Saccharomyces cerevisiae S288C: one gene and its partners. The gene in region 2 interacts genetically with the main gene of each other region. Each region holds a gene or a part of one and is shown on either strand. Other genes may lie near its edges.

Evidence for each region.
Region 1: mutations in DAL2 (region 2) and NCE101 together harm fitness more than expected from each alone (negative genetic interaction), as found in Saccharomyces cerevisiae (2 studies listed by BioGRID).
Region 3: mutations in DAL2 (region 2) and CYS4 together harm fitness less than expected from each alone (positive genetic interaction), as found in Saccharomyces cerevisiae (one large-scale study listed by BioGRID).

The regions. Positions count from the first base shown.
Region 1 is NC_001142.9:49,628-52,551, reverse strand, and holds NCE101 (Nce101p), read left to right. Parts: upstream 1-2,108; coding exon 2,109-2,140; intron 2,141-2,283; coding exon 2,284-2,413; downstream 2,414-2,924. Other genes in the region: RCY1 (Rcy1p), read left to right, coding at 1-1,923; YJL206C (uncharacterized protein), read left to right, coding at 2,617-2,924. UniProt on the Saccharomyces cerevisiae protein: Involved in a novel pathway of export of proteins that lack a cleavable signal sequence. May be part of the export machinery or may also be a substrate for non-classical export.
Region 2 is NC_001141.2:408,835-412,492, forward strand, and holds DAL2 (allantoicase), read left to right. Parts: upstream 1-1,972; coding exon 1,973-3,004; downstream 3,005-3,658. Other genes in the region: DAL4 (allantoin permease), read left to right, coding at 1-1,541; DCG1 (Dcg1p), read right to left, coding at 3,202-3,658. UniProt on the Saccharomyces cerevisiae protein: Utilization of purines as secondary nitrogen sources, when primary sources are limiting.
Region 3 is NC_001139.9:796,547-800,308, reverse strand, and holds CYS4 (cystathionine beta-synthase CYS4), read right to left. Parts: upstream 1,767-3,762; coding exon 243-1,766; downstream 1-242. Other genes in the region: GTO1 (omega-class glutathione transferase), read left to right, coding at 2,441-3,511; YGR153W (uncharacterized protein), read right to left, coding at 3,564-3,762.

The DNA of each region.
Region 1 (2,924 bases), on a different chromosome or scaffold from region 2:
GCTATCGAATTTTTCAAGTCAAAGGCTGATTTGCCTCCCAGTTTAACGGTTTTGCCGTCTAATGATGAATTATTTTGGGCCGAACAACCAAGGGAAGAGGACAGCGGTGGGAGTACCGTGATATTTAATTCTAAAAATTTAGATACGTTTCTCAATCAGCTAAGGGATTTCCTCAACGAAAAGATTAAATTAGCGGACATTTTATTCAAAGATGAGTTCCCTGTAATATTACAGTTCATCGAGTCCTTTATCCAAGATATTTTATTAGATATTTTAAACAATATCTTATTAAGCTATAGTGAATTTTTAAAAGAAAATGGAAAGGATAGTAAAGCCAATTATGAATGCGTACCCGAACTTTATTTCACATTTATAAAAAAGTTTGATACTGAATTAAACGACTCAGTAAACGCAGGCGCAAATTTCCGTAAAGTTGTTCGTGACCTTTTAAACCTGTATCTCGAGCCCTTTGTTGTCAACTATATGAATCAGACAACTAGAGTATTTGAATCATTGATCAACTCACAATTAGCTAATTATGACACACAAGTTCAAGACAAGCAGCGTGAGCAAAACGCAAAAATTTATAACACTTTAAAAGATCAAACGGATGCTTCGAGTGCAAGTAACAATGAATTGCCGAATGACCTCTCAATAATTACTGAAACCTCCAAAACTGTCCCAGAAGCGGATTCAAAACCAAGTACGATCCATCAATCAGTTCATTCAACTGATATTTCTAATGATAAACTAGACTTTCTAAGTTCCTTCACCAAGATTTTCAAGTTCTCGAACAATGAAAATCAAAGGCTAAAGCAACAACTACAACTAGCCTACAACTTAAATTTAATTTCCAATAACTTGCAAAACATTAAATCGTTAATAAGTCTCGATTTATGTTACAAAATTTTACAGGAAACAAGCGAAAAGACGGATCAAATTTACAAATTTCATACGATTGAAAGTTTGCTACCATTGATCAAGCTACGCTGTCAAGAGATTTTCAAAATTTTAATTACACAATTGAATAAAAATCACGTTAAACCTGCATTTGAAAAGGCAATCCTGCTACTACAAAAATATAATCCTAACGAAATAGAACAAATAGAAATAAAATTCAATTCACTTTCGCCAGCCAATACTCAAGTCGAACCTTTAGTACAATTCACTGAACTTATCAATATAGGTGACATAATATTACAAATGATTTCCATTTTTTACAAGAACGAATTGATTCCCAAAAAAATTATCGATAAAAATAAAGATTTTCTTAATGATGTTATCCAATTAAAAAAAAATTTTGAGACTTCTATCGATGATTTTGTAGCCGAAGGTTTAAATATCGGTATAAACAAACTAATGGATGAAATCTCATTTGTATTCAAGACTCTTCAATTGCCTGACGATTATAATCCACCGCCACCCTCTAGGAATTCTCCAATAAGGGATATAAAGCCAACCAAATGTGCTATCAGGGTAGTCGAGTTACTTTCTAATCATTGCTTTCTACTGACTGGTGCCACAGACAAGGGTACTATTGACGTGTACCAACAAGAAATTGGCGAGAGATTCTTTAATGAAATCGTCAAACATCTGAAGAAGTGCTTCATATCTACGGAGGGCGCAATTTGGTTAATCTGCGATTTAAATTACTTTTACGATTTTATTGCTAACAAATTAAAACAAAAAAATGTTGTTCCCTATTTTGTTGGGCTTAAGTCTATTGGCCAGTTATACATCATTTCAGGCAAGGACTCGAAAGAGTTGGGAAAGCTTATTTCTGATCTTGGGAAATTCAATGGCATTTTTACGCAAGAGGAAATTTATGAATTTGTTCAGAGGAGAAGCGATTGGGTTCGTGTACGGAAAGACGTTGAAAAGGTAATGTACGGCCTAGGCATACGAGATTGCTGCATTATGTAAATTCCTATCAATGATTAATTATATTACTCTATATAGGTATGAAGTGCGGAAATAAAAGACTGTTCACATATTAGATTATTCAAGATTACGCGGGCTCTATTTTTCCCTGTTAGCCACACGCACACAAGGGGCATACAAATGTTCACTCCATTTATAAGAGGATTCCACACAAGATCATCGATAACATGGTTCAGTACGCTCCCTTTCTATTAGGAAAGTATGTTCATTCTTCATACGCTATTCTATTTTTTTTTTTTTCACACTTATTCTTTTACTAACGCATAGTTAACCATTTGCTGTTTCGAAGAGGCAACATCAAACAAGTCGATGTGCTCTTTCCCAAGCTGGTCTCTATTGCAGATTTTCTGATCCGTTATTGGCAATTATGGTAGGCTGTCTCAGCTACTATGTGTACGAAAGGAAAATGGGGCGTCCACAAGGTCATCATTTACACGAGCTCATAAAGAAGCGATGGGACGATCGCAAATAATAATCCGGCGTGAGGGGAGTATATATAAGTTTCTGGCGATATGTAAATACCATAATAATTAATCCTAGGATCTACCTTTATACGCATTTATCCTATAAAAACCCAATCTTTCAGATCCACAGTATTTTTATATGTGTGATTTCCTTGATTGTCTCAATTTAAAGAGTAATACATACAACTTAGACCAAAGAATTATTCAATAGATGACGCCGAAAGAATCTGGAAAGCCTATTTCGTGTGCAATGAAGAAGTTGAAAGGCAAGAGATCTAAGATTTTGGTTTTATCTAGAGATGCGGGCACCAACGAATTGAAGCCAACGAAAGGAAGAGCACATCGAGCTTGCATAGCTTGCAGAAAGAGGAAAGTACGATGTAGTGGTAATATACCATGTAGACTTTGCCAGACTAATAGTTACGAATGCAAATATGATCGCCCCCCACGGAACTCATCGGTATTTGATAGGGAAGTAAGCGATGATAGTTCCTTATATGCACAGAGAGCTTCCCACGA
Region 2 (3,658 bases):
TGGCAGACTGTTTCAATATTAACACATGGCAAATAGCTGGTACAGGTCTACAACTAGGTCTGAATTGGTGGCAATGTTGGCTTACAGTTTGGATCGGCTACACTTTTGCAGGTATCTTCGTAGTATTGAACTCGAGATTTGGTTCCGCATATCACTTATCTTTCCCTATTACTGTTAGGGCCTCATTTGGTATATTCTTTTCTATGTGGCCGATTATAAATCGTGTCGTGATGGCTATAGTATGGTATGCCGTGCAAGCCTGGTTAGGTGCAACGCCCGTGGCACTGATGCTAAAATCTATTTTTGGCAAGAATCTGGAAGATAGAATCCCAAACCATTTTGGTTCTCCAAATAGCACTACTTTTGAATTCATGTGTTTCTTTATATTTTGGGTGGTCAGTATACCATTTGTCCTAGTGGCTCCTCATAAAATCAGGCATTTATTCACAGTAAAAGCAGCTTTGATCCCCTTCGCAGCCTTTGGATTTTTAATCTGGGCTTTGAAGAAATCGCACGGTAAAATTGAGTTGGGGACGCTGAATGATTATTCACCTCATGGTTCCGAATTTTCATGGATATTCGTTAGATCCCTAATGGCCTGTGTTGCTAACTTTGCCGCTTTGATTATCAACGCCCCTGACTTCGGTAGATTTGCCAAAAATCCTCAAGCGTCTTTGTGGCCACAATTGGTTGCCATCCCATTGTTCTTCGCCATAACATGTTTGATCGGTATCATTGTTACTGCGGCCGGTTATCACTTATATGGGGTTAACTATTGGTCACCACTGGATGTACTTGGTCAATTTTTGGAGACCACTTACACCAGAGGTACTAGGGCTGGTGTGTTCTTGATTTCTTTTGTATTTGCCTTAGCTCAACTGGGTACAAACATTTCTGCCAACTCTCTGGCATGTGGTGCTGATATGACGGCTTTGTTTCCAAGATATATTAATATTAGAAGAGGTTCTTTATTCTGTGTGGCAATGGCTCTATGTATCTGTCCATGGAACTTAATGGCCAGTTCAAGTAAGTTCACCAGCGCTTTGGGTGCTTATGCAATTTTCCTTTCCAGTATTGCTGGTGTCATTTGCGCGGATTATTTCGTAGTAAGAAGAGGATATGTGAAATTAACACATTTATTCCTGGCACAGAAGGGTTCCTTTTACATGTTTGGAAACAAATTTGGTGCCAATTGGAGGGCCTTTGTTGCGTATATTTGCGGTATCGCTCCAAATTTACCAGGTTTTATAGGTGATGTTGGAGCTCCAAAAATTACGGTTTCAGAGGGTGCAATGAGGTTATACTATTTAGGTTATCCGGTAGGTTTCTTTATTAGTGCGGTGATATACCTCATATTATGTTACTTTTTTCCTGTCCCTGGTACTCCCGTAACCAATTTTCTGACAGAGAAAGGATGGTTCCAAAGATGGGCTTATGTTGAGGACTTCGAGCAAGATTGGAAGAATGAGTTACGTAGGGATGACCTCTGCGATGACACAGTCAGTATCTATGATGGCACCGAGGAAAAGATAGTTTACTAAATAAAAATCCCAATTTATTCTCTTACCAGTAGTGATCAGGAGAATTGATAATTTCTTCAAAACACCTTAATATTCGTTCTGTGTATTTTTATGTACCTTTCTTAATCAAATTTATCAGCTTCATACATGCATTCCCGTCTGAATAATGTACTGATGATTAGCTAAACCGTCATCAACCTACCAAACTTGCGCTTGTTTGAGCCTATCAGAACTCCGGATAATTCCGACATCTTATCTTTGACTCGAATTAGCGATAAGATAAAAACACAGGAACCACAATGAAATTCAGCTGGAAGAAAAGTCTAAATTATAGACACATTTTCTGAGATCAAATGCTATAAAGGAATGGAAGTGCATTTTGCTATGATATGGGGAAATTATGAAGCCGATCAAACAATTAATTGTATCTAATCGGTCTCTTCTTTAGAAAAATGAAGTTTTTTAGTTTGGCAGATGAGGCAGAATTTAAGTCAATAATCATTTCAAAAAACAAAGCAGTAGATGTTATAGGATCTAAGTTAGGTGGTCAAGTGGTTTCTTTTTCAGATGAATGGTTTGCTTCTGCTGAAAATTTAATTCAGCCAACTGCTCCTATAAGGGATCCTACCAGATTTGTTCATTCAGGCGCATGGTACGACGGCTGGGAAACACGAAGACATAATGAGATGGAATACGATTGGGTTATCATCAAGATGGGAGTCGCTGCTGCCCATATTATTGGTGGTGAAATTGACACTGCGTTTTTCAATGGTAATCATGCACCATTTGTATCAATAGAGGCGCTCTATGACGAGGGCGAAGAAGGTAATATAGTGGAAGATGACTCGCGTTGGGTTGAGATTGTTGAGAAATTTGAGTGTGGTCCTTCGCAAAGGCATCTTTTCGTTAGAGGCAACGGCCTTACTAAAGAAAGGTTTACTCACATCAAGCTGAAGATGTACCCCGATGGAGGAATCGCCAGATTTAGATTATACGGAAGAGTTGTTCCTCCAGAACTCAAAACGAAGGATCATATAATTGACTTGGCTTATGTTTGCAATGGTGCTGTCGCTTTAAAGTATTCTGACCAACACTTCGGTTCAGTTGATAATTTGCTACTGCCAGGTCGAGGTCATGATATGTCGGACGGCTGGGAAACCAAAAGATCGAGACAACCAGGTCATACTGATTGGGCGGTAATTCAACTGGGCAGGGAGTCTTCTTTCATTGAGAAGATTATTGTTGATACGGCACACTTCAGGGGGAACTTCCCTCAGTTCATTACCGTGGAAGGTTGCTTGAAGGAGTCAGAATCAAGTGAGAACACTGGTGAAGGAACATGGGTAGAGCTAGTTGGTAAGTCAAAGACGGGGCCTGACAAAGAACATGTGTATGAAATACGTAAGAGTATAAGAGTCTCCCATGTCAAATTAACGATTATTCCAGATGGAGGAGTGAAAAGAATAAGAGTTTGGGGGTACTGATAAATACTTAACTACTGTATATTTTAAACCAATGCACTCTTGGCACTTTAAAAGTAAAGGTATAAATGTAGTTAAAAGTTTTTGTTTTGATAATTGAATGTTTTCATTTCGCTATCCCCACGCTACTTTATTTACTTCTTCTTCTTCACGACAAAACATTAAAATTTACACTCTATAAAAAACAATCATATTTCTATTTATTTTTGTGAGTTGACAAATCTTATCATAGTGATTAGAATCTGTAAACCGATCTCAATCGTGTCCAGAAACAGCGTGCCATCCCTTTGGAATGTTTTCGCCAGTTTATTTTGCAAACCCGAGAATCCTGCACAACCTAATATTACAATGTCTGAATCAAGCTTTTTAATATTTTCGCGATATATAATTTCTGCTATCTGCTGGAAATTTTCTGGACTATGTAGGTCGAGGACCTGTAAATCAGTAGATACCGTACCTTTCCATAAATTTTTGTTAACTGTATTCCCTGTCAAGAATTTCGATTCCACAGAGTTATTCAATATTGGAATCCATTCTTTATTTGAAGTAATAATAGAGAACTTCTTTCCAACCAAATTGCAATAATTAATACTACTATCTAATAACCCAACAATAGAAACATCTGCTTTTTCTTTAGCAGCTCTATCCTTTATCTTT
Region 3 (3,762 bases), on a different chromosome or scaffold from region 2:
ATGTCGCTGTTTTTTTGTTTTTCTTCAGAGTCGGGTAAGAGCAATAAAGTGAAAAGTTAACAGATTCAAACACTGATGTGATGCATGCATGATAAGGAATTTGTAAAAATAATAGAACAATGCTGCTTCGTATAGGCGCTATTTAATTAAGTAGTTATATAAAGAGAACGGTGCAATTGAATAGGAAAGGAATGACGGATTTTGCTTCTATGTTTGCTTTTATTTGAAGCGTGGGTTCTTATTTATGCTAAGTAGCTCAGTAAATCCATCTTAGTAACGATATGGATTGGTTTCAAGCCATCAGTGATAACGGCAGATGAGTTTTTTTCAAAGAAACGATTCAAGTCAGATAGCTTTGAGTTTTCATCGAATTTAATAAACTTCTTCTTACCGGATTTATTTTCGTTGTAAGAGGAAACATCATTGAAATTGTTTAATTTCTTGAAGTCCAAGTATTTACCCTTTATAGTGTTGTCGTTGTTTGAATTATTGATTGATAGTTTTCTTAGAAGCTCAGAGAGAGTAACTAAACCAGACAACTTGCCGTCTTCAGTCAACACAGGCAATTGGTCAAAGCCATTGTCTTTTAATATCTTGATAACATCAGTGACCTTAGCGGTTTCCTTAACGGAAACAACCGGTTTCAAGTGAAGATCCTTTACAGTAGCGTTACCAAACACATCAGCGTATTTTGTCGTCGAAGCCTCCAGCTTTGAAGAGTCAAAACGGGCCAACACGTCATCATCCCACAAATTGTTCTTTTTCAACCATTCGTCATCGACGAATTTGGTTAGGTACGACCTGATGGAATCTGGGAATATGGCAACAATGACATCATCTTCAGTCAGTTCAGGGTGGTCTTCACAGTATTTCACAACCGCAGTGAAGGCAGAACCGGAAGAACCACCCACCAAGACACCTTCGTTAGAAATCAATTGTCTGGCGTATTTGAAAGAAGGCTTGTCGTCTGTCTTATACCAAACATCAATTAATTTTCTGTCCAAAACCTGAGGAACAAAATCATAACCAATACCCTCAACTTTGTAGTCAGTGATATCAGTCTTATTCAAGTTTTCAGGTTGGGCTAAAATTGAACCGAATGGGTCAGCACCAACGATTTGGATCTTATCATTCTGTTCTTTCAAGTACTTGGAAATACCGCTAATAGTCCCACCAGTACCAGCACCAGCAACAACAGCGCGTAGATTATCAAATAAATTCAAGTCTTCTAGCTGTCTTTGGATTTCGCGACCAGTACCAAAGTAATGAGCTTCTGGGTTCATCATATTGTTATATTGGTCAAGTATAACAGCACCAGGAATCTCTTTTTCCAACTTCTTAGCAACACCAATATGTGATTCTGGAGAATCCCAGGCAGCAGCAGTTGGAGTTCTGATGATTTCAGCACCCAGAGCCTTTAGGACAGAAACTTTCTCGTTAGACATTTTTTCCGGCAAGGTGATGATAGTTCTGTAACCTTTGATGGCGCCGATTAAAGCTAGACCGATACCGGTGTTACCAGAAGTAGGTTCGATCAGAGTAGATCTGGAAGGATGAATTCTACCGGAAGCTTCAGCTTCTTCCACCATAGACTTGGCAATTCTGTCTTTGATGGAACCACCTGGATTGTATAGTTCCAGCTTAGCATAAATTTGTGGTTTGATACCCAAAGCCTTAGGCAATTTTTTCAGTGCGATCAATGGGGTGTTACCAACTAAGTCGATAACGTTATGTCTTGAATCGGCTTGCTGCTCAGATTTAGTCATTTTTATTCTTACGTCGTATTTATCTAGATGTCCTTTGAGCAAGTGGCCTACAACGAAATCTTCAAGTGTTGCCTTTTACTTTGGCATAGAAGCATCACGACATTTATATATACAAGCCTGGTGAAGTGCCTTGCGTTTACTTTAACCTTTAGGAGAAAAAAATTTTCGGTGTTGGTTTCTTTTTTTCCTTTCGGTGCAAAACTGTGGAGGAAGATGGCAATAAATTAGTGAAACGGTAATGCCGTGTGGACTGCATATGCCGGATATAGCATTTATCAGTCACGACAGAGCTGATTATCCTTACTTGGGTGAAGTTGAAGTTGTTGTGATAAGGTTAGAATGCAAATGAAGCTTTGTCAGCGCTGAGAAAGAAAATTTTGTTTTGTGAGCCACTACTATCACGTGCCATTACCATTTTAATCAGTTATGAAATAGGGGAATGTGTCATTGAGGGAAAATGTAATGGCCACCAAATGAATCAGAGGGTCGGATGAGAACACACCCTTACTAACTGCTGTTCATATCTCACAGTTGCCATTGATAAGCTCTGGTGGGAAAATACCCTTGATTTTTGGTAGCACATATTGACATAACAAAAGTCTTGACTTTGCCAATTGGAGAGATGGCCACTTATAGAGGAAAATACTCGTAAAAATAATCATAAACAGTAAGCCATGTCAGTATCTTACAAGGGAACAATTTCTAAGACACATTCTGTTTTTAAACCAGAAAAAGGAAGGTATTATATTTACGGGGCCCTTGGGTGTCCATTCACTCATAGAGCCATTCTTGCCAGGTCTTTGAAGAAATTAGAACCTGTTCTAGGGCTTGTGTTATCTCACTGGCAATTAGACTCCAAGGGTGCCCGTTTCTTACCTGCTCCACACCGGCCGGAAAAATATAAAGAGAGATTCTTTACTGCCACTGGTGGCATTGCTTCAGCTAAATTAGACGAATCTGAGGAGTTAGGTGATGTGAACAATGACTCTGCAAGGTTGTTCGTGGATGGCGCTTTCGACCCGGTGGAAAATATATCAAGGTTAAGCGAGTTGTACTACTTAAATGATCCTAAGTACCCCGGTACAAAGTTCACTGTGCCTGTTCTGTGGGATTCTAAAACAAGGAAAATTGTTAACAATGAGAGTGGCGATATCATAAGAATTTTGAACAGTGGCGTGTTTGATGAATTTATCCAAAGCGAAGAAACGAACGTGATTGATCTAGTTCCGCATGATTTAATAGACGAGATTGATAAGAACATCAAATGGGTTCATCCGAAGATTAATCTTGGTGTCTATAAAGTCGGATTAGCAGAAAACGGAAAGATTTACGAAACTGAAGTAAAAACACTGTTTGAAAACTTGCAGAAGATGGAATGTGTACTAAAAGAAAATTATAAGCGCTTAGAGGAGCAATTCAGTGGTAACAAACAGAAAATCTTGGCTAAATATTTTGTTTTAGGACAGAGGTTAACTGAAGCGGATATCAGATTGTATCCATCAATAATTAGATTTGACGTCGTGTACGTGCAGCACTTCAAATGCAATTTGAAAACTATAAGGGATGGTTTCCCGTACCTTCATTTGTGGTTGATTAATCTATACTGGAATTACGCAGAGTTTAGATTTACTACAGATTTTAATCATATTAAGCTCTTTTACATCAGGATGGAAGTAAGTAGGAACAAGATCAATCAGTTTGGTATAGTGCCATTAGGCCCAAAGCCTGACATTTCTAGATTATGAAAACTTCTAATATTTTCTTACACACACATATATTTATATGCATGGCTATACTTCAAAAGAGGTTGTCACTTCCATTTCCATGTAGGTAAAACTCGTGTATAGACGGAACACAGACTTCCCTAGTTTTATTGACTTCATAGTCTCTGCACCATTCAATTATGTCTCTGTAAAAGAGACTCTTCTTTATATCGCCCTTTTCTATATTCTCCATCTCCAGTTCTTTGAAGCATTTTGCTTTTCTCGATTTATGA